Linked DNA regions of Astyanax mexicanus. The protein of the gene in region 3 purifies or fractionates together with the protein of the main gene of each other region. This does not show direct contact. Links are inferred from orthologs where the notes say so. Each region holds a gene or a part of one and is shown on either strand. Other genes may lie near its edges.

The links.
Region 1: the proteins of dnmt1 (region 3) and sirt1 purify together in Homo sapiens (affinity purification with western blotting; 3 studies listed by BioGRID and IntAct, with this or other methods). This does not show direct contact. The link is inferred for Astyanax mexicanus from reciprocal best matches to the Homo sapiens genes DNMT1 and SIRT1.
Region 2: the proteins of dnmt1 (region 3) and mta2 purify together in Homo sapiens (affinity purification with western blotting; 3 studies listed by BioGRID and IntAct, with this or other methods). This does not show direct contact. The link is inferred for Astyanax mexicanus from reciprocal best matches to the Homo sapiens genes DNMT1 and MTA2.

The regions. Positions count from the first base shown.
Region 1 is NC_064414.1:2,518,691-2,525,931, reverse strand, and holds the start of sirt1 (NAD-dependent protein deacetylase sirtuin-1), read right to left. Parts: upstream 3,020-7,241; 5' UTR 2,923-3,019; coding exon 2,583-2,922; intron 1,359-2,582; coding exon 1,239-1,358; intron 1,115-1,238; coding exon 876-1,114; intron 152-875; coding exon 1-151. Other genes in the region: dnajc12 (dnaJ homolog subfamily C member 12), read left to right, coding at 4,534-4,611, 5,302-5,380, 5,631-5,770, 6,010-6,139, 6,485-6,570. UniProt on the Homo sapiens protein: NAD-dependent protein deacetylase that links transcriptional regulation directly to intracellular energetics and participates in the coordination of several separated cellular functions such as cell cycle, response to DNA damage, metabolism, apoptosis and autophagy.
Region 2 is NC_064415.1:31,199,316-31,206,393, reverse strand, and holds the start of mta2 (metastasis-associated protein MTA2), read right to left. Parts: upstream 3,020-7,078; 5' UTR 2,607-3,019; coding exon 2,579-2,606; intron 1-2,578. Other genes in the region: eml3 (echinoderm microtubule-associated protein-like 3), read right to left, coding at 5,146-5,376, 6,596-6,726. UniProt on the Homo sapiens protein: May function as a transcriptional coregulator. Acts as a component of the histone deacetylase NuRD complex which participates in the remodeling of chromatin.
Region 3 is NC_064410.1:3,869,009-3,876,083, reverse strand, and holds the start of dnmt1 (DNA (cytosine-5)-methyltransferase 1), read right to left. Parts: upstream 3,007-7,075; 5' UTR 2,822-3,006; coding exon 2,775-2,821; intron 1-2,774. UniProt on the Homo sapiens protein: Methylates CpG residues. Preferentially methylates hemimethylated DNA. Associates with DNA replication sites in S phase maintaining the methylation pattern in the newly synthesized strand, that is essential for epigenetic inheritance.

The DNA.
Region 1 (7,241 bases), on a different chromosome or scaffold from region 3:
TTGCAAATTTAAAAAATGGCCTAGGATCCCTTCTGAAGTAGTCAATATCAAACATTGCTTGAGGATCTGGAAGGTCTGGAAAATCAACAGCAAGTCGAGCATAAATTCCATCTCTGGATCTGAAGTCGGGTATTCCACAAGAAACAGATACCTGCAGAGAGTGAAATAAAAACAGAATCACTGTTACAGCTGAAATGTGTCCAAACAATAATGAATAAAAAAATCAAATTACTATATTGTCACATTAATTACCAGATTTTAACTATATAAAATCAATCTTCTGTAAAAGACATGACACTTAAGATTCAAAACTATTTACTGAAGCACTAATGAATGAATCAGTGGAATAATGTGATTTCCATATAAATTGTTAGAAAAAGGCCTTGAAAAATCCAGAAATCTGTTGTCAAATGTGAAAAATTGCACAATAATGACTGGATAATACAAACTGTTGGGGGAGACAAAATATTGATATCATTACATCATATCACTGTGGTGGTGCTAATCAAATTAATAGGGTAAACCTGCTAAATATGGTAAAGCTGCTGTGAATAAGAATATTGGTTGTCAAACTATGTGAAACTGACACCAATAAACGTGTAATACCTGATTTTTGTCTTTTTTTTAATGAGTTTTTGACTTGTTAAGTTTCTAATGTAGCAGAATCACAATATCGTGGTTGCATCATTGTCATGGTCAGCATATTGTGATAATATCGTATTGTGAGAGGCCCTGTGAGTCCTACCCTTACTTCTAAGTACAAAACAGGACAACAAGCTTACAGAACAGTGTGAATACTTCTAATAAACCAAGGGACTTTTTTTTTTATTTATACCTGATTATATCAAGATGTTAAACCTAATTAAATAACTCACCCCTGCTCCAGTTAGGACAAGTATCTTTTTGCCATCATTAAGCAGTCTGACGACATCCTCCAAGGTGTTAATATCTTTGCGTTTCTTTCTTTTAGGAGGCTCAGAAATATTAATGATAATCTGCCACAGTGTCATGTCGTCTAGATCAGGTGGAAGAACAGTTTCTGGAAGTAAGTCTTTCAAAATCGTCCTCGGGTCGGTCTCTCTCATGATGTGCTGCTGAATGAAACGGTAGGAACCTGTCCAATCACACAACAATGCATACAGGTTAACATTTAAAAAAGCGATGCACTAATGTGAATATTTACAGATATCTGAAATTGTACTGAAATGAAAGCTTGTTTGCCACTAGTTCGAACATACCAATCTGAGGCTGAGGAGTCCAGTCACTGGAGCTGGCATGAGAAGAGCAGTCATCATCATCTTCATCATTAATATTAGGAGAGTAAAACCCATTTGGGCGGACACTGCCGTCGATTACCCCTGTAAAAGAACCAGAACCATTAATATCAAGCACTTTATGTACTTACGGCAAAGATTTTTAACCTAAAGCACAACAATGACACATGTGCTAACTCTGTTTTACTGGTAGAAACTCATTTCAGATATTAGCTATAACATATTTATTAGTACAAAAATTTAGATCTGCAGATCTAAAAAAAAAAAAAAAAAAAAAAAATCGTATTGTTTTGTTATAAAAGTCGTATTGTTTTGTTATATTGTTGTTCATTTGTTTTGTTATATGTGTGTTGGTTGTATATGCTGTGAATTTGACCTAATATTGTGTCTATTTCAGTATGTTAGATTGTATTTTATATAAAAAAAATAATAGTAAGTTAGGTTATCCAACCTAACTTACTATACAGCTAACTTTACAGCTAAGACAGTCAGTTTTACTGATTAATTAACGTTAACTAAGTAATTCTGTTATTGCTGACTATGGTAGTATTCTAGCTTAATTAGTTTCTTCAGATCGATCAATAAAACTGATAAAATCCTAATTTAGCGTTAGCCAAAAGATCCTATGCTCTTCCTTTCCTGGGGCAGTCCTGATGAGTGCCAGTTTCATCATCATGTTGTTTTGATGGTCTTTGCATGATTGCACTTAAGGATACTTCCATTTTTTTTCTCTTTACATAGTTGAGTATTTTTGACATAATATGGATTAGAACATATAAATTCCTAGATATTTTGAAGCTTTTTAGTCTTATTTGAAATTTATTTTCTGTTTGTGTGTGATTTTGTTTTGTTTTGTTATATGTGTGATGTTGGTTGTATTTGCTGAGAATTTGACATACTATCTTGTTTATTCATTATGCTGGATTGCATTATATACAAGAATTAAAAATAATAATAAAAAAGTTTGTTAACCTAGCTAACTTTACATCTAATACAGTCAATTTCACTTGTTAATTTACTAGTTAATTCTGTTATTGCTGACTACGGTAGCTATCTAGCTTAATTAGTTTCTTCAGATAGATCAATAAAAGTGATAAAATCCTGATTTAGCGTTAGTTAATAAGGATATTAATATAACGTTATATTTAAATTCCCGCTGCTGTTGGGTAACGGGAAAAGCTAGTTAGTTAGCTGACTGGCTAATTCAGTCACCGAACCATCGCGAGATTTTGTAGCCAAATCTCGCGCTAACATTAGCCTCGGAGCAGCCGCCAATCGTCCCAAACCCCCTCGGTGTGATCCGGTTACCTGAGAGCTCGTGTTCCGCCGCGGGTTCGGGAGTCTGCTCGCTGTTAGAACCGTGTTTACTGTTCTCAGACATCAGCAGTCCGTCAGCGGGTTCCCCCGGCGCCGCGGCCTCAACCCCCGCCTTCCCCGGCTCCTGATCCGCGGGCTGGGTTAAATCCTCGGCCGCCCGACCCTCAGCGAGCTCCGGCTCTCCCGCGCTCTGCTCGCCGCGGGTCGGATCCGGATCGCGGCTTTTAGATACACTAATCCGCGCTTTCTTCAGCACAGGCTCTTCCGAGTCACCAGAACCGGACCCGGTACGAGAACCGGCTCCTTTTAACGAAGCCTCCCCGTCCGCCATCTTCCTGTGCTCGCGCCGTTCCTGATGTGATGTGATGTAATGGACACGGGCGCCGTACGAGCTCGCGAGCCTCTCACCACACACACACACACACACAGCTGGGGGATATTTAACCCGCGCACGTGACTCCCGCTCCGCCACTACAACAACGTGAATGACGTCAGTCAACGGAGCCCTAACAAAGACAGGAGAGCCCATAATAAACCCCACAAACCAGCAGATTCATACAGATATAAATCAATAAAACAGATTATTCAGCTGATGCAGACAAGTTTCAACTGTGTGTTCTGTACATTTTATTTAATAGTATTTTTCTGGCAAATATTATTTACACAAATCCCACTATAATAGTCGATAATTTAATTAATTATTTCGAATAAGTCAAATTTAATTTATTAATAGTCATTGATAATTTCAGAAATGTCCTAACATAGATTTAAAGATTCAATTTTTTTTTAAGTTTATTGTCATCTGCACCCTTAAACACAATAAAGTACAATAAACTTCTTTCTTTGCTTCTCGAAAATGATCCCACATAAAGAGAAAAGTATAAAAAATACAATAAAGCAAGAAATAATAAAGTAAATAAATATAAATATATAATACATTGGTGTTAAATTTACATCAATAATTAGGAACCCACGCATTTCTGGGTATTGATACCAAACTCAAAATTAAATCAGAAAAATTCAGTGAGCAGCCCATTCATGTTTGTTTCCTACCGTGGACACACAATAAATATTGTGGACTTAAATATTTTAAGTTTAAAACCATAATGCAACATAAATGACACAAAAAGTATTTCCTAACTATTATGAACATTTATACATTTGTTATGCATTTGTTTTAGAAATCATGTTACTTCAAACAATACACTTTAAAACTGAGCTTGTTTAGTTTTATCTCCAGCCCTAATCCTACAGCACTCCTACTGTACTATTCTGTATAAATGAACTCACATGAAGGAACACAGATTCACACACTGTCTTGTAGTGATGATGCTCTCAGGATGTTCAGTACAGTCAGTAAGAAACTTTACACAGCTTTTAAATGGTCTGTGACATATGTTACTGTGGGTTTCTTTTTTGATAACAATTCCATAAATGTCCTGAGAATAGTAGCTGGCTGTAAGATATACGTGGGATGTATTTTGTATAGTGTTTTAACATTTATAGTATATAACCTAATATACTAAAATAATAATAATAATAATAATAATAATAATAACAATAATAATATAATTGCATAATAATAATATTATATTATTTAGTTTATATGTATATATTTTATATGCTTTATAAAATGTGATCAGTATATTAATAAATAGAATCGCTTGTTCTTTATATAAGAATTTCATATTAATTTGACAAATAGAAATGCATAACTTATTTAATATTTATTATTGACTTCACATTGACTTTACATTGGCAGTGTTGATTAGATGTATCCGGTAGCTTGTGAATGTTTGTGCTGCTGTTTTAACGAATGAAAATCAAAAACATTTAGTTTTGTCTCGGTCACTCCGGGTCCGGTGGGCGCGGGGTTTAGGGTATTTACGGTAGAGTCCGCGACGGCGGAGTTCAGAGAGCTGCGGGGGAAAAGGCTGCTCTTATGGAGGCGATACTGAACTGCAACCCGGAGGATCTGGAGGATTATTATGGGCTGCTCGGCTGCGACGAGCTCTCTACGGTAAGAGTTACCCGCTGTACCGGCTCTTCTACCCGGTATCAGCCTCCAGCCAGGCGGGGGATGGAGGTTAACGGCTGGGAGAGCCACACACTGACCAAATACTGACTAAACACTGACCCAACACTGACCACAGACCAAATACTGACCAAACACAGACCACAGACCAAATACTGACCAAACACAGACTAAAAACTGACCATACACTGACTAAACACAGACCAAATACTGACCAAACACAGACTAAACACTGACCATAGACTGACCGAAAACTGATCAAACACAGACTAAACACTGACCATACACTGACCAAATACTGATCAAACACTGACTAAACACTGACCATACACTGACCAAACACTGACTAAACACTGACCAAATACAGACTAAACACTGACCAAATACTGACTAAACACAGACTAAACACTGACCATACACTGACCAAACCCTGACTAAACACTGACCAAATACTGACTAAACACAGACTAAACACTGACCAAATACTGACTAAACACAGACTAAACACTGACCAAATACTGACTAAACACAGATTAAACACTGACCACAGACTAAACACTGACAATACACTGACCAAACACAGACCAATAACTGACCAAATACTGACCAAACACAGACGAAACACTGACCAAATACTGACTAAACACAGACTAAACTTTTATGTTTATTTTTTAGACTGAACAAATTCTCAGAGAGTTTAAAGTGAGAGCACTGAACTGCCATCCTGACAAGAACCCCAACAATCCCGCAGCAGGTGAGCTGATTATAATTTATTATGGCTTTACATATACATTTTTAGGTATGAAATCTGAACCTATACATGTATATTACAATATACATATTACACTTAATTTTAGAGTTAAATGGCGGCAATCGCATTTGACTTACTGAATCATTGATTAACTATACCAGCTTGTGGATGATGCAGCACATAATACTGAATAAATTCATACATACTGATCAGATGATTTGATTTTCTTGCTGATACTGTGTGTGTTTTGCAGTGGAGGAGTTTAAAAAACTACAGGAGGCTAAAGATGTTCTGACTGACGAGTCGAAAAGGAAGAGTTATGATTTCTGGATGAGGAGTCGGATCACTGTGCCGTTTAAAGAGTGGCAGGCACTGAGGGACTCCGTAAAAACCGTGAGTGACATTATCGACTGGATATTGCTGATCAAATAATCACATTTATTTATGTGTGTGTACAAAACTATATTCAATTACTCCAATATATATTCTATGTTATATGATGTACAACAGAACATAATATACAGAGTATTACACACAACAGACACACAAACACACTCTCTCTTCTGACTTCATATGTACTGAATGAATGTGCTAATAACTGTCAATCATTTATTGTCTCTAATTGTCTCCAGTCAGTGCACTGGGCTGTAAGAACCAAAAAGGAACCCATGCTTGCTGCACCACAAGATATATCTGAAGTCAGCACCGAAACCAGAGCCATCCAGTCTGAGGGTCCAGATTCCATAAAGGAGGAAACATCTGGTGAGATTTATTTTGTTTCAGTAAATAACTTTCTGGATATATTTTTATTATGAAAGTCTGCGCGAAAAACTAATATAATAGTAATAAAATAAAACATCGAAAAAGTAAGGCGATATCACTATGATCGGAGAAACGTGAGTTTGAATCCTGGGTCATGCTGCTTGTCCATCAGCAGCTGGAGTCTAAGAGAATACAATTGGCCATCCTCTCTCTGGGTGGGTAGGTGGCGCTTAATCCCCTCATCACTGGTCAGCACAGGCATGAAAACTGGAGAAAATTGGGTAAAAAAAAAGATTTAATAAATTGGTCTATCTGTCCATCTAATTCTGTTTTTTTTTCTTTCAGGTGAGGATTATTGGTGTCACAGATTTCGCTGGGCAAGTGATGCTCCCTCAAGCCTGTTGCAAAAGTTTAGAAATTATGAAATATGATTATAATTATAAGCTCTTCATGCTCCAGACTTGCTTGCTGTAATTTGTGGTAATGGTTAATATCTTACAGAGATTATTTCTTATTGTTAAATAGATTAGACTTTGTGTGTTTGTATGTTGTTAAATTTATAAACTATGTTAGCTGTTGGATAACTATGGGAAATGTGTGCTATACTGTAAATGTTCAAGCTCTCAAAAGTTAAAAAAAATGTGAAGAAAAAAACATGAATAAAAACAGTCACAAACTGACAAAACCACTGTCAAAAACTGTTTATTATCATTGTGGTGGTACGTACTTTATTTACTCCAGATACACACATGTATATGTGTTATACTCATGCTTTATACACTATACTAAGACTATATCCAGTACTCATGCTTTATACAGTAGACTCACACTATATACACTATACTCAAACTATATACAGTATACTCACACTCTACAGTATACGTGCCGTGTATACAATATATTAATTCTACACACAGTATTTTCACATATACACAACACTATATACACTATACTCATCCTATGTACAGTATACTCACCAAATGTATACTATACTCACATTATAGAGCGCACGCATGTACAGTATATTCAGATTAAATATAGTATACTCATATACACTAAAATAATTTTATATAGAGTAAAATCACACTGTGTGCATGGTAAG
Region 2 (7,078 bases), on a different chromosome or scaffold from region 3:
TACTAGGTCCATATAGGTATAAAAAAAACTAACATGTTCAGGTTTTTAGGCAAAAATATGATTATTGAAGTGTGTTAAAAAGCCTTGAACAAACAGATCTCTAAATAGTCCACACAACAGATCACAAACATACACAATTTAAAGCAAAGCAGCGTGTGTGTGAAAAATGGTGATTTTACAAACCCTCTTCCTTCCCACTTTACACTCCGCCGGCTCTTTGATCACTGACAGTGGTGCACACTATAGACGCCAAAGGGGAGACCCTCATGAGAACTGCGCATCAGCCATACAGATAATTTCCCCTCAAAAACATTCTTCTTCTATTTTTTTAACTGTTACACCAGTAAAATAACCATCAATTTGAGCAACAATGCTCTCACTGAAGTGCTCCACAGAATCAGACAGGAGCTGTGTGGATAAAGGTCCAAATCAAGAGAAGCAGGATTGAGTCTACGGTGGTTAACAGAATTGCAGCATCTTCATCATCACTCTGACTGACCTATTTACAGTCGCTCTTAGAGCTCCATCTACACATTTAAACACAATAAGTCAAACCGTGTTAAAACCCAGCAGTGGAAAGAACCTTGATGAAACCTGATAACCTGTAAAATGCTGACTACTCCTAGATCAGTTTGTGTTGCGTTGTGATAAGGGTTGCAGCAGTACCAATTAGGGGTGGGCGATATCGTCCTAAAATTTATCACGATAACGATACTCTTGGCGAAATGACAAACCACTGAATTAAATTTTTTTTTTCAAGAACACACTACTGCAAAAAATATATATTTTTATTGTATTATTTGATTCAATATGATATTATTATATGAAGTTAGGGGTGCACCATATTAAATAATGCAAGAATTTTTATCAGATTTAAAACAGAAGTCAATCACCCAGAATGTCATGATGCTAATAATGCACTCAAATACCTCCATCTATCCAGGACTAAAATGAATGAATGGTACTTGTTAAAAGTACTGGCTATATCACATTTAATGCTGACTATTCTTAAAGAAAAAAAAATATATATCAACTGATATGATACAATACCGATATTATCGTGCATCCACACTTTAACCATTTTCTGTAATCATAAAAATGTACAGTTTGGTCAGTGTTTTAGGCACTAAAGATATAAATCTTTGATATGCCTATTAAAGCATATGGTCAAGAAAATAAAAAAATGTATTACGGTCCAGTAAAATAATCACAGTATCGCCCAGTTGTAGCCAGCAGCGTGCTGGATGTGACTGTAGCTGTCAGACAGAGTACAGCTCAGATAAAAGAGCAGCTGTTCTGTCCTAAATCCTGCTCCCAGAGAGTTCAGCAGCTCGTCATAATGTTCATAAAGTGCTCAAGAATAAAGCCTGACAGGAGAGAAGCTGTGGGGTCCTGGACCGATTGCGCTCTTTCTCTTTCTCTCTGTGAGGCATTACTGTAGTACTGTGGTCGGGCTGTTACTATCGGTGACGGTGTGTTGAGTTTTCTAGCTCTTCAGCATTCAGAGTTACAGTTTACTCGCCTACTTGGACTGCAAACTGGTGTTTTACAATTTAACTCTCACTCAAAAAACGAGTAAATACTTATCTAGTTCCTGTTCTGTATCCAAGCGAAAATAACTGTTATAAGTTAGGCTTTAATACCTAAACAACCACAGGGCGCCGGTTAACTAAACGAACCTAGTTAGCTAAGCTAACTAACAATAACTAACGCTAGGTAACGTTAACTAAATAACTTAAGATACTTTATTAACCTTTTTCTTTAAAACTCTTTCCCTCTTTACTCTTATATTGGAGTAACGCTCTGGTAAACCGTTTAAAACAGATAGCTAGTTATAGGTTAGCTCGCCTGCTAACTAAACTTAGCTAGTTAAATAACTTTTCTTCTTAGCAATATATGCAATCATAGTTACAAAGTGCAAAACGTTATTCTTCACACAAATCTAACTTAATGCAAAAGGAAAATATGGAATACAAAAATAAATAAAAACAAAAGGAAAAAGGGGATCATATCTACAGCTAGAAAGATAAATCAGAAATATTTATTTTTATCTTCTTAATAACAATAATAAACTGCATCTGTGCATTTAGGATGCGAGATAGCTCCAACAGTGCAGCATGGGGGGAATTATAAGCTAAAACATCTGTTTATGGACACTGGATTTAGCAAAAGTAATACAATATAAAATCGTATTTTTATTCGCAGTATTAAGGGCGTTTCTCAGAGTAAGTAACAGTTAAGTAAACTGTAGTTTTGGAAAGAAGACTCGTATAAAAGTTAGTTGTAAAAGCTTTCCCAGAAACTCTGAGAAACAACACATTCAAAAATAAATGAAAAGCTAAAGCTAAGCTAAGCTAACGCTAACTAAGCCGGCCTTTGTAAAGAAGGCGGAAATAAAAAAAAACACGCCACCAAATGAGAAAAGGCGCTAGCACGCTAGTTAGCATTTAGGCTAACGAGTCGACTAGCAGACTATTAATCAGCCCGTTAGCCGCAGCGGCTAGCGTTAGCAGGCTGGCTAACCCGCTCGCACAACAATCCCCGTTTCGGCGGCGGAACCGCTGATTAAAACGCTCACCTCCTACTCGGTACATGTTGGCCGCCATTCTCTCGCTCCCCTCCACGAACTCGAGCCCCGGGATTCCCCTCCTCCTGCGCGCGCTGAAGCCGAGCGGCGGCGGCTTTAGTCCCGCATGTATCGGCGGACTCGGCGCTGGCGGAACAAAGCCGGGGAGCCGGCACGGTGAGCCCGAGCGGCGGCGGCGGGAGAAAAGTTCAAACTTTCCGTCTCGGTGAGAATCCGCGGATGTAAAACGCGCCTCCGCTCCGGTCCGGTACCGACACAGCCGCTCCGCTACCCCTCACCGGCCACTCACGCGCTCAGCCTCGCGGGCATGCACCTACAGTCATCGGCTAGCTAGCCAGCCTGTCTCTCTCTCTCACTCTCTCACTCTACTCTTCCTCCCATCCTCTGCTCTCCCAGCTTCATCCTCCTCTTCTTCACCTCCGCTCGGCTCACCCCTCCTCCCCCCTTTTCTTAAACGTCATCTTCGGAAGCGCGAAACGTCACCTAGAGCTCGGCCCGGTCTCGAGCTTCACCGGAGAGCCTGCTGTCTGATAGAACTAGCGAGTGAGGTATCACTTCACTTCTACAAAGAACTTAAATGTAAAAAAAGCAGTTTAAAGAAGAAAAAAGCAGATTAAAATAAATATTTCATGATTTACTATAGATGTGAATCACGTCCCCGCCTTTTCCAATTTTGTTTTATTTTTTATTTATTTTAATATATGTTACAAATATTTTTTATTAGACATTAATAATCCCCTATCTGTTGGAGCTCTCACACATTTCTATAGTCTTTTTGCAAACAAAAAAATCTCATTCGTATCCTATAAATTTGACCCCCTTGTCCCCTCTTTTTCCTTTTACTGTTTTTATTTTTCCACTATTATTTTTTTTCTCTTTATATATTTGAAGAATTGTGTATTATATGTTGCACATTTACATATGTTGCTAAGTTTGCAATCTAAAAAAAATATGTATGGAGAAGTTTCAGGCTTGAAACTGCTGCAAGCCTCATTTACTACAATACCTGTAACTGGTTACAATGTATTATTGAATTTGGAATCTATACATTGTGTCACAATTTCAATTTGACGAATTAAAAATTAATTAAAAAATTAAGCCTAAATTTAGTAGATAATATTTTGTATCTGAAATGAACAACAAGAAAAAACTGACTTCCACTGTACTTCCATCCATGCCTATATCCAGCTTCTTTTTGGTCACTGTGGCCGCAAAAATTTTAACTCATTAAAACCCATTTTATTATACAAGAAATATAAATATATTTCACCAAATTGAAAACATCTGGAATGTAATCAAGAGGAAGATGGATGATTACAAACCATCAAACCAAACTGAACTGCTTGAAATTTTCACCAATAGTGGCATAAAGTTATCCAAAAGCAGTGTTTAAGACTGGTGGAGGAGAACATGCCAAGATGCATAAAAACTGTAATTAAAAACAGGGTTATTCCACAAAATACTGATTTCTGAACTCTTAAATCTTTATGAATATGAACTTGTTTTCTTTGCATTATTTGAGATCTGAAAGCTCTGCATCTTTTTTTGTTATTTTAGCCATTTATCATTTTCTACAAATAAATGCTCTAAATAACAAAATTTTCATTTGGAATTTAGAAGAAATGTTGTCCGTAGTTTATAGAATAATACAACATGTTAATTTTACCTATAAATAGCAATGGTCTCTATTTTTTCCCAGACTGTATATTTAGTTATTAAATCAGTGAACAGTAAATTTGGTTAAATTGATCTCTGTGCTCCTACCGCCCCCTTTTGGTTGCAGGCCCACAATGCACTGTTACAATTTCACCTTGGTCCTCTAGAAGGCGCTGTGTGATTCACGCAGCGCTCGAACGCCTCCTGATCCTTTTTGTGATTTGTAGTTCTCAACTTCAATTTTTCTATACAGTTACTGTCTATTACAGAATAGATAATCTAAGAAAAGGAAGGACAGTGTTCTCAAAATCATTCAGTCATATTTCAGTTAATATATAATACATACAGCAGACTCAGATGGTTTTGGTTTAATAGTGTGATGACACACAAACACATTTATTAAATCATAGCCAGACAGCGCACAGAGAACAAACTGAAGAAACAGTTCACATCTACAAATCAGCAACAGGTCAGTAATGTAAACATGTACTGCAACGAGTAAAGGGTGATAAATGAAAGACTTGCTTTGGAATGACCATCTTGAGATGATTGTCTATAAAGGCACGTACAAGCCTTTCACATTCCAGAATTATCAACATAAACGTAACGTAATGTTAATAAAGTCAAAGTATAAGATCAGTTTACTTTACATAAACATAAGCTGTTTGACACACACACAGACACACACATCATTTGTCCTGTTGTCTATAAAATTGGAGTAATATAGTAACATGTAAACCTGATATAGTGAATGTTGATGCAACACTGACTTCCTTTTTGGCCATGAAAATCTGTTAAAGACCACCATAAACATTGCATCCTCTCAGCACAGTCTTCCTAATGCTGGATTTACTCTAGATTGTGCAATACCATATTCTTCAACATATTCTTTGTCACTCTCTTCATCCCATCTCTTTCTCCTTCTGTTTCCCAGGTTCTGAGGAACTGTTAAGGGAAGTGGGTGGAGGAAGTGAAGAGGTTGGGTGTTCCTTTTCTGCAGCCCCGCTCCTCTTGACTCGCCACTGGAGGATGCATGTGTCCTTCCCACCCAGTGACAGAAGGTGACTGTCGCAGTGGGTGAAGCGTACGTTGGTCACATGACTGCCATGGCCCTCATACCTGTGACTTGGTGCCTAAAAAAAAGAAGGGAAGGAATCGTCTCAGAAGAAAACATTTCACACAGCCACACGACTAAACTACACTACCAGTCAAATGTTCCATGAAAATATCCAGACTATGAAGGAACACACAAGGAATACTGTACTCTGTGAAGCATTTAGGTGACTCTTATCTGAGGTATTGGTACCTTGCAGTTTCTGAGGCTGGTAACTCTGATCAACTCATCTGTGCAACAGAGGTAACTTTTTGTCTTCCTTTTCTTGAGTGAATACTTATTTTAAAAGTTCTTAATATTTTTCAGATTGACTGTAAAGTATCTAGAACATTACTCAAATATGGCTATTTATTGTATACCAACTCTACCTCCTCACAACACAACTGTTCTCAAACACATTAAGAGTATAAGTAATGAACTTTTTAGTTCAGAAAAGCTATTAACTTAAAGCCATTCTGGGTGACTCTACCTCATAAAGCTGACTGAGAAAATCCAGCCAAGATGTGCAAAGCTGTCATCTAAGCAAGAGGTGCCTACTCTAAAGAATCTAAAATATAAAACATATTCTGGTTTGTTCAACACTTTTTGTTTACTCAATAATTCCACATATTTTTCTTATAGTTGTAGTTTGTAGGACTTATAATGCATAAAATATTTAGAGAATGAATCTAAGGTGTGTTTAAACTTTTGAATGATACTGTATATGTATGGGAAACCTGAATTTTTAAAAATAATATCACTTTTGTGTTCATAAGTAAGAAATATTGTATACTTAGTATTTAATGCAAACTCACAGTAAACTGTTGTAAACTGAAAGTAAATCCAGCTTATTTGATAAAATCACATGTCCACATGTGGACACCCCTTTTAAAGAATGAATTCATGTACATTGCTTCCATTGCTGACAAATGATGATCAACACATGCCCCCCATCCTTAACTTCACCTCTAGCCCTATCTATTGGAGATACTGCTCTACAGTGCTCTAGTTCCTGTAGAGCAGTGTCACCAATAGATTAAGGCTCTGGAGCAGATTAACATGGGGGGGCACGTGATGATCATCCACCTCCTTGAACTCACTAACGCTTTATAACTGAATGCAAGAAAATTCTTACATAAAAGCTACAAAATCTAGTAGAAAGCAAGAGAAACTATTTTTAAGTCACAAAAAACAGGGGCCCAATACTTTTAGTTCCATTTGTGATACCAAAGAAATTATACTGTAAACATTATACTGACCTTTGGTTTAGGACATGGATACTGGAATAAGTGGACTTTGCAGAAGTCATCTGCCACTGCCACTATTCGCTCGCTGTGAGAGCGACACAGAGCGTTGATATCGGTCCCATCCGAACCCTCCAGCCACACACCTGCACATTAAAAACATCAGAAAAGCACCCTATTACAATACATGCAGTACGTACGTATGACTTCAGCTGCTCTAACACGACTCAACTGGGTAATAAACTCCCTGCAGACAAGCCTGAGGCACATTTTATAAAGCATTAATACTGCATGTGTATAATACAGTCACCAGAGACCTGCTGTCATTATTTATTAGAGGGAGGAGAATGCAGGTACATTTTAAAAGCATATATACAGTACATATAAGTTTACCACCATACTACATTTTATGAATATAAAGAGAAAAACAATAAAAGGATTTAACATGCTTGCCCACATTTTTATATATTTTTTCACTCTACGTTCACACTGAAGCTA
Region 3 (7,075 bases):
CAGTCTTAAATTAGTGTCTTCATATGAAGGACTTCCAGAAAATTAAGTATTTTAGCTGGTGGAATAGTTTCAAACAGTTCTCTCACGTTTGTAACCCTATAAAAGTCCTTTCTGGTGGTCAAAAGTGCAGGGCAGTCTACTTAGATATGTTTAATTGTTAGAGGAGTATCACAGAACTGGCAGGCTGGAGTCCGTTCGCCAACCAGGAGGTGACGGTGGGTAAGAGCAGTATGTCCAATTCGGCACCTAGTCATCACTGACTGTTCTTGTCTATTAAGGAAGTCCATATTGCATTTTCTATTTATGATTGGTGATATTTCATACAGTTTATTTTGTGGAGTGAGTATAGTAGGCATCTGTAATTGGGACATAGTTCCAAGAAAGGTCCTGGTTTCTTGCTTCCCTTGCTAAAATGTCTGCTTCATCAACCTTATTAACGGTCATCACTGCTAACAGTTTTCCCTGTAAGACTGGTTATCAGGCAGGTAACGGATGATTTGAACATGGCTAAAAGAAATAAACCGTGCACTGTAGAACCTTAAATGTTAACTACAGTACATGTCACTCAGGTGTCACTACTGCTAAAATGTACAAATGGAACAGAAGTTGCAGTGTTGCTGATTGGACCACAGCTACAAAGGAAGATCAGAAATTACATCAGAAGAGGGCTTAATTTAATGAAACAATAAGTAAATGCATGGAGCTTATGTATTTTAGAGAACGATAGGCAACAGGCTAGTCTGGGTGTTCAACTAATAGCCAGTAATTGTCCTGTATTTACCTAAACAGCTGTACACAATCAAAACATGAATATTCCACCACATAGCTTAAGAGTTTAAGATCTGGGTTTATACTAAAAATAAACAACTAACCAAGAAAAATAAATAAATAAGACAGTTACAGAAAGATTCTTTCTCCAGGACACTGTCAGAGTATATAACATACTACTCTTGATAAACTGAAGATTACTAGTTATTTATTAATACTGTGTGCAATAAAACCTGTTTAGCCATTACTTCTTACTACGTGTAATACCCCTATTCACCATGTGTAGCATAATCTGTTTATGCAGAATCACTGGTCACTGCATTCACCAAAATACACATACTGGGGAACAACGAGTCTTAAATTTTCCCCTCACGATTTGTTTTGAATTTTTTGTATTAATTGATTGATAGATAGTCTCTACATTTTCTGATACTTCTATCCTGATGGAACATTGTAAATTTTCCCACTGTGGGATGGATAAAGGATTATTTAAAGCTAATCAAACAGCAGAGGGAATGTTTTGGCCAAAATAAATAAACAGACTTTACTTCGGCCATGCATAATTGATTTTAATAAAGTTTCAGGTGATTATTCAGACATACAGGGAAAAATTAAAACCCCTACACAACAGTATTAGCTAACTGACAATACAGCAACACATGCCATAACAGAGTGGCAAACCCATGTTTACTAATGTACAGTACCAAAAAAAGAGTTTGGACAGATCTATACCAAATATCTCTTTACCCAAAGTATATGCCACATTATAAACTAATTAGCTCTTCAGAGCACATAGAAAAAAGGAGATTTGTTTCACACTGTTCTAAATTCCCCATGATAGATCTACTAGACACAGATAATCTGTCCAGTATCATTCACTTTACTTCAGTCCAGGATATATGAAGATATTCTGAATCACTGACTTCAGATACAAATCTGATAAAATTATTGTATTTTTAATTTCAGTTGGTAGAGTGCCACATCATATTGTATGCAACAACAAATTAAATCATTATTTGGTTGGAGAGTATTCTTAAAATATATTTTTTATTGAGTCTTGTCATATTGCTGGGAGTATTGTTAGAGTAAAAATAACATTAAATATTTAGCTATTATTTTAGTGTCATGTGACACAACCCTAATACAGTTTCTACTTTTCAGAGATGTATATACAGAGAGGGAGATTAAACATGTTTTTTTTTTCTCAAGGAATAGTTTTTTTGTATGTGTATAAGAAATATGTAAAATAATTATATCTTATTATTCATATTCTTACATATTCTCATGGTAACCTTAGTAAATGAATGTTTTCACTTGCTGCCTTTGGGCAACGTAATACAGGTAGAACACAAGCATCATGTTTTGGGAGCTTCCCAGCTCTGAAACACCCTATTCAAACGAATTGCAGTCAAAATATAAATTTATGTCTGACATATCATACTTTTCACACACTTTAGTTATAAGATATGGTTTGACACGGTCAGGCCAGGAACAGCAGCAGCAGCCATCATTTGGCGCCAAATTCAGGCTGCCCGGTGACAGCGAGCTAGCGCGAGCGGGCGCGCGGAGGGGAGACCAAAACAACTGCCTGACGGGTTAGCTTAGCCTAGCATGCTAACTCTAGTTATCAGTCACAGAATTGGCTGCAGTGCTTTGGCGGAGAGCCACAGCGCTAGCTAACCTAACCCGCCTCATTAACAGTAGTTAGAGCCACGTTTCTAACGATATTTAAGCTTTTAATCTTTATTAAAAAAACACACACACACAGCTAACCTAGCTAGCAGCTCAAACCCCGAACAACAGACTAGAGCCTGCTGTGGCTGCTGTGCTACACTGCAGGCTCCAGTCTGTTGTTGGGGGGTTGAGCTGCTAGCTAGGTTAGCTGTGTGCGTGTTTTAACGTTTTAATATAGATGTACAGCAAATTAAAGGTAGTTAGCAAGGTTAGGTAACGCTAGCTAACTAACTAACTAACTAAAGCCCAGGTGAGGTTAGGGTTTACCGTACCGTTCCTTCACATCCTCCGGCAGAGACAGCGAGGTCTTCGCAGGCATTTCAAGTGAGAATAAAAGCGGATAAAACAGCGAATACGTTAAAAACAACAAAAACACAGTGAACAATTAAAAGCGCCAATGTTTAAAACAAGCAGCAGCAGGAAGAGCAGCAGCAGCGGATCGCCGCAAGGGGACACTGGGGCTTTTTAAGGTTTCCCAGCAGATGCGAATGTGCGCGGGCCGCTTTCCCGCGGAAAGACTCGGACTTAACCATCCACAGGAAAAATAGGGTGCCTGCAGATAGAGAGAATACGTCCATTACATTTAAACTTAACTAAAAGGCGAATAAAACGCACCAAACTCACATAATACACTAATAAAACATTTACATTTATGTACAATAAAATGATAAACGACCCCCGCTGATATCCCGTCCTTAAACCATCCATAATCTAAACACCCCTTAATCAATCATGACGATATGGTTTCGTCCGTTTTTCATGTAAGGTAGGTGGTCCTACTGGAGAAACTCTACAGATGAGAGACTGCCCAATGGAAAACGTGCACAGGTTGAGATACCTTTATATACCTATATATATTTAGCTCTGAGAAATATTATCAGTTTCTCTGATATTGCTATTTATAGGTATATGTTTGACTAAAATTAACATATTATTTTATTTTATTTAGTTTATATTATTATAAAATATTGTCATTTATAGCATTTAATTACAGAAAATGAGAAATGGCCGAAATAACAACCCTGTTTTTTAATCACAGTTTTAATGCATCTTGACATGTTCTCCTCCACCAGTCTTACACACTGCTTTTGGATAACTTTATGCCACTCCTGGTGCAAAACGCCAAGCAATTCAGCTTGGTTTGATGGCTTGTGATCATTCATCTTCCGCTTGATTAAATTCCAAAGGTTTACAATTAAAGAGGTTTTATTTTTTTGTGTTTAAAAACACACACACAAAATGACCACTAAAGAGTCCTATGAAAACAGAAAACCAAACGATTTTAAAGTGACATTAAATTCTTGAAGAGCCATTTCTACACTGTTACATTTCTATATTGTAAGATTGTAGGATTAATTGGGCACCCAAATTGCAATGTACGTTTGAAATGATTCCTAACATTTTTATATTTGTAACGAGCAACGATGCAGCAGATAAAAAAATAATATAAAATTAATATAAAAATAATATTAAAATCATAGTAGTGAAGTAAAAGTGGAGGTAGGTGAAAAAAATAAAAATACTTCAGTAGATACAGATACAGCATTTAAGTACTAAGTACTTAGAAAAAGTATAGTTATGAACCTCCATAAAACAGCTCTGGCTGTGTCTTCAGCATCGGCTCTCCACCAACCAATCAGCACAGAGTAGCAGTAATGCTAGCGAATTTGTTGTCCAAAAATAGTCTATTATAGAAAAATGGAAAGGTATATGTAGGTTTTCTTTATTGTTTTAGTACAATACTTAATTATGCTTTCTAAAATTAAAATAATATCCTGGACTAGAAGTTACTATTGTTAATTTGTGTTTAGAAGCCGTTTAGCTCCATTTATCCCATTCATTGAAGACTCCCTCGCGGGCTCCCTCTAGCGGTGTAAAGTAATTTTCTGATTTAAAAGAGAAACAGAAAGTGTGTAGTCTCTTCATAAACCAGCTCTGGTCCTACATGACTTGAATCTCAACAAAGGCGGGAGATTCTCCCTGCTGAATACTGCATCCTGCAGCTGGACTGTAGATCTCTGTGTGTGTGTGTGTGTCTGAAGTGTGGAAATGCTGTCTGTATGGTTTAAAGGCAGGAAGGCATATCTGCCTGATATCTGAACTGAATATATATATATATATATATATTACAAATTACAAATTAGTACTTCAAACTCAAAAGTCATTCAAACTATGAAGGAACACATAAGGAATCATGTAATAACTTAAAATAAGTGTTAAACAAACCAAAATCCTCTGTGAAGAAGCATTTAGGAAAGCTAATCCTGTAAAACAGAGGCAATTCGTGCTCTTTCTTTTACTGGTGTGGTCCAGATGAGTGCCAGTTTCTTTCCTTTTTTTGATTAACTGACCTTCATTTCTTAAAGTACTATATTTCTTTACTTAGTTGAGTAGTTCTTGACGTAAAATGGATTAGAAGATTGCTCACAACTTTACAACTGATGCTCTCGAACACATTAATAGAGCAAGAAAATATTAACAGTTAGTTATTAACACTTGACAAGGGACAGCTGTTAGCTGTGAACTAATTTTTATGTTTTTCTTCATAGTTTTGAGGATTTTAGTGTTAATCTATAATGCGGAACATTTTAAAATAATAAAAACAATTGGATTTAAATCCAATTTCCAAACTTTAGACTAGAGACACCTGAGGTAAAATTTAAAGTAAAAGTTGAAGTAAAAGTCTTGCTTTAGAGATACTTTCTTTTCTGGATTTATGACTGCTGAGGTTGCCGGCTGCAGGAATGACTAACCTGGCTGATAGGCTACTGTCAGCCACAAGTGGGAGGGGATTTCTAATAACAGTGTCATTGTACTTTCCGGCATTGATCATCACATACTTTAAAGGGTTTAAATAGTTTGTCGTTGCATTTAATTCATAAGCCGTCATTGTCTGGGGACTCCAGGCCAGCTTTGGCCCTTGGCAATTGATTAGTTTGCTTGTATTGTTGCAACCATGCTGGTTTAAAGATCTGCCAGCAATTGTATTATACACTATTCAGCCAGTCCAGCAGAGGGAACTGTAGACTCATTTTGCCGAACTCCCCAGTCTTCTATCTCTTCTGTCTCCCAACATCTGTCCATCATGCTGACCACGAGATGGCACTGTTTGAGAGGAGTTTTAGCAGGGCCTGCTGCAGACACATGTGTGCAGTTGGGTGGGGCAGGAGGTTATGGGAGAGTAAAAAGAGATGTAAAAGATCTAGACTGCCAGCTTACAGCTACATGAGTTTGCAGCTGTTCTTCTGTGGTTTATCAGGCCTGATGTCACTTCCTGCTGACAGCTGTTGGCTGTGCTTCCAGCGGTATGGTCTCCCAGGGCCCTGGTGCATGTTCCCACCCAGGAATTCTGGACGTCTGACAGCAACCAGACCAGACCGTCCTCAGAAGCTTACTCACCCTCACTCCTCCGAGGCCCGGACGCTCCTCCTGAGCCAAGAACTCCTCCTGAGGTCTGGCGTCCAGAGGTCAGAAAGAGAAACAAGGCCTTCCCATGATGCTGTTCCCTTCCCATTGGCTCTCATCCTCCTCTTACCTCATATCACCCCCACACTGTTGCTCCACAACACTCCCACATGCCCTTGCAACTGGCAAAGCAACACTGCCCTGTCAACAATCTGAGCTAATGGTTGTAGGCCGCACCACTTTTCAAATCTGGTCATGTCCTAGCGAGTCTGTTCTTTGCTGTGTCGGTGCATGTTTTGCTTCACTCTGCCTATTTGGTTTTTCCAGGTAAGCTGTCTTTTAAATTAGGCAGAGGAAGTTCCCTCGGGTTGGGGCATAACAATAGCTTTCTTGATACCAGACAGAGCAGGGTAATATGACTAAAAACTCAAATATCGATATACAATATGATGAAATAGAGCTGGGTGATTTAGCTAAAAACTCATATGTTGATATACGATACGATACAATATGATGAAATAGAGCTGGGTGATTTAACTAAAGACTCATATGTTGATATACAATACAATACAATAGGATAAAATAGAGCTGGGTAATAAAATAAAAGTATTATGTCACAATATCTAAAGGCAAATTAAAGATACCTGATAATGCATCAAATTTACTGGTGTCAATCTACGAAAAAAAATCTGATTAATCAAAGCAATGTTTTTGTGATTAAGTCTGAAGCATTTAATATTAAAATTAAATAAAAAATGTATATAAATCACAAAAAAGTCTGTGATTAATCATAAAATCCTTTATTGTTGGGAGGAGACAAAATTAATAGTGTAGTGTGGTGTGGTGTAGGCCTATCGGAATAGAGCCTTATTTTTTATTTGTTAAAATATCTCGGGTAGTTTTGATGCTTTTATATTAATATCTTAGAGCAGCAGCTGTGGCAGTGTGTGTGTGTGTGTGTGTGAGAGAGAGAGAGAGAGAGAGAGAGTGTGTGTGTGTGTGTGTGTGAGAGTGAGAGACATTGGGGTTGATTTATTTTGATATGCAGTCCAAATTTGCAAACTACTTTCTAAACATTGCCGTAGAGACAGGTGTTTTTTAGTCTGGCATACCACAAACCACACTATACTTTTATTACTGTCCCCTCACAATAATACAGGCAAATACC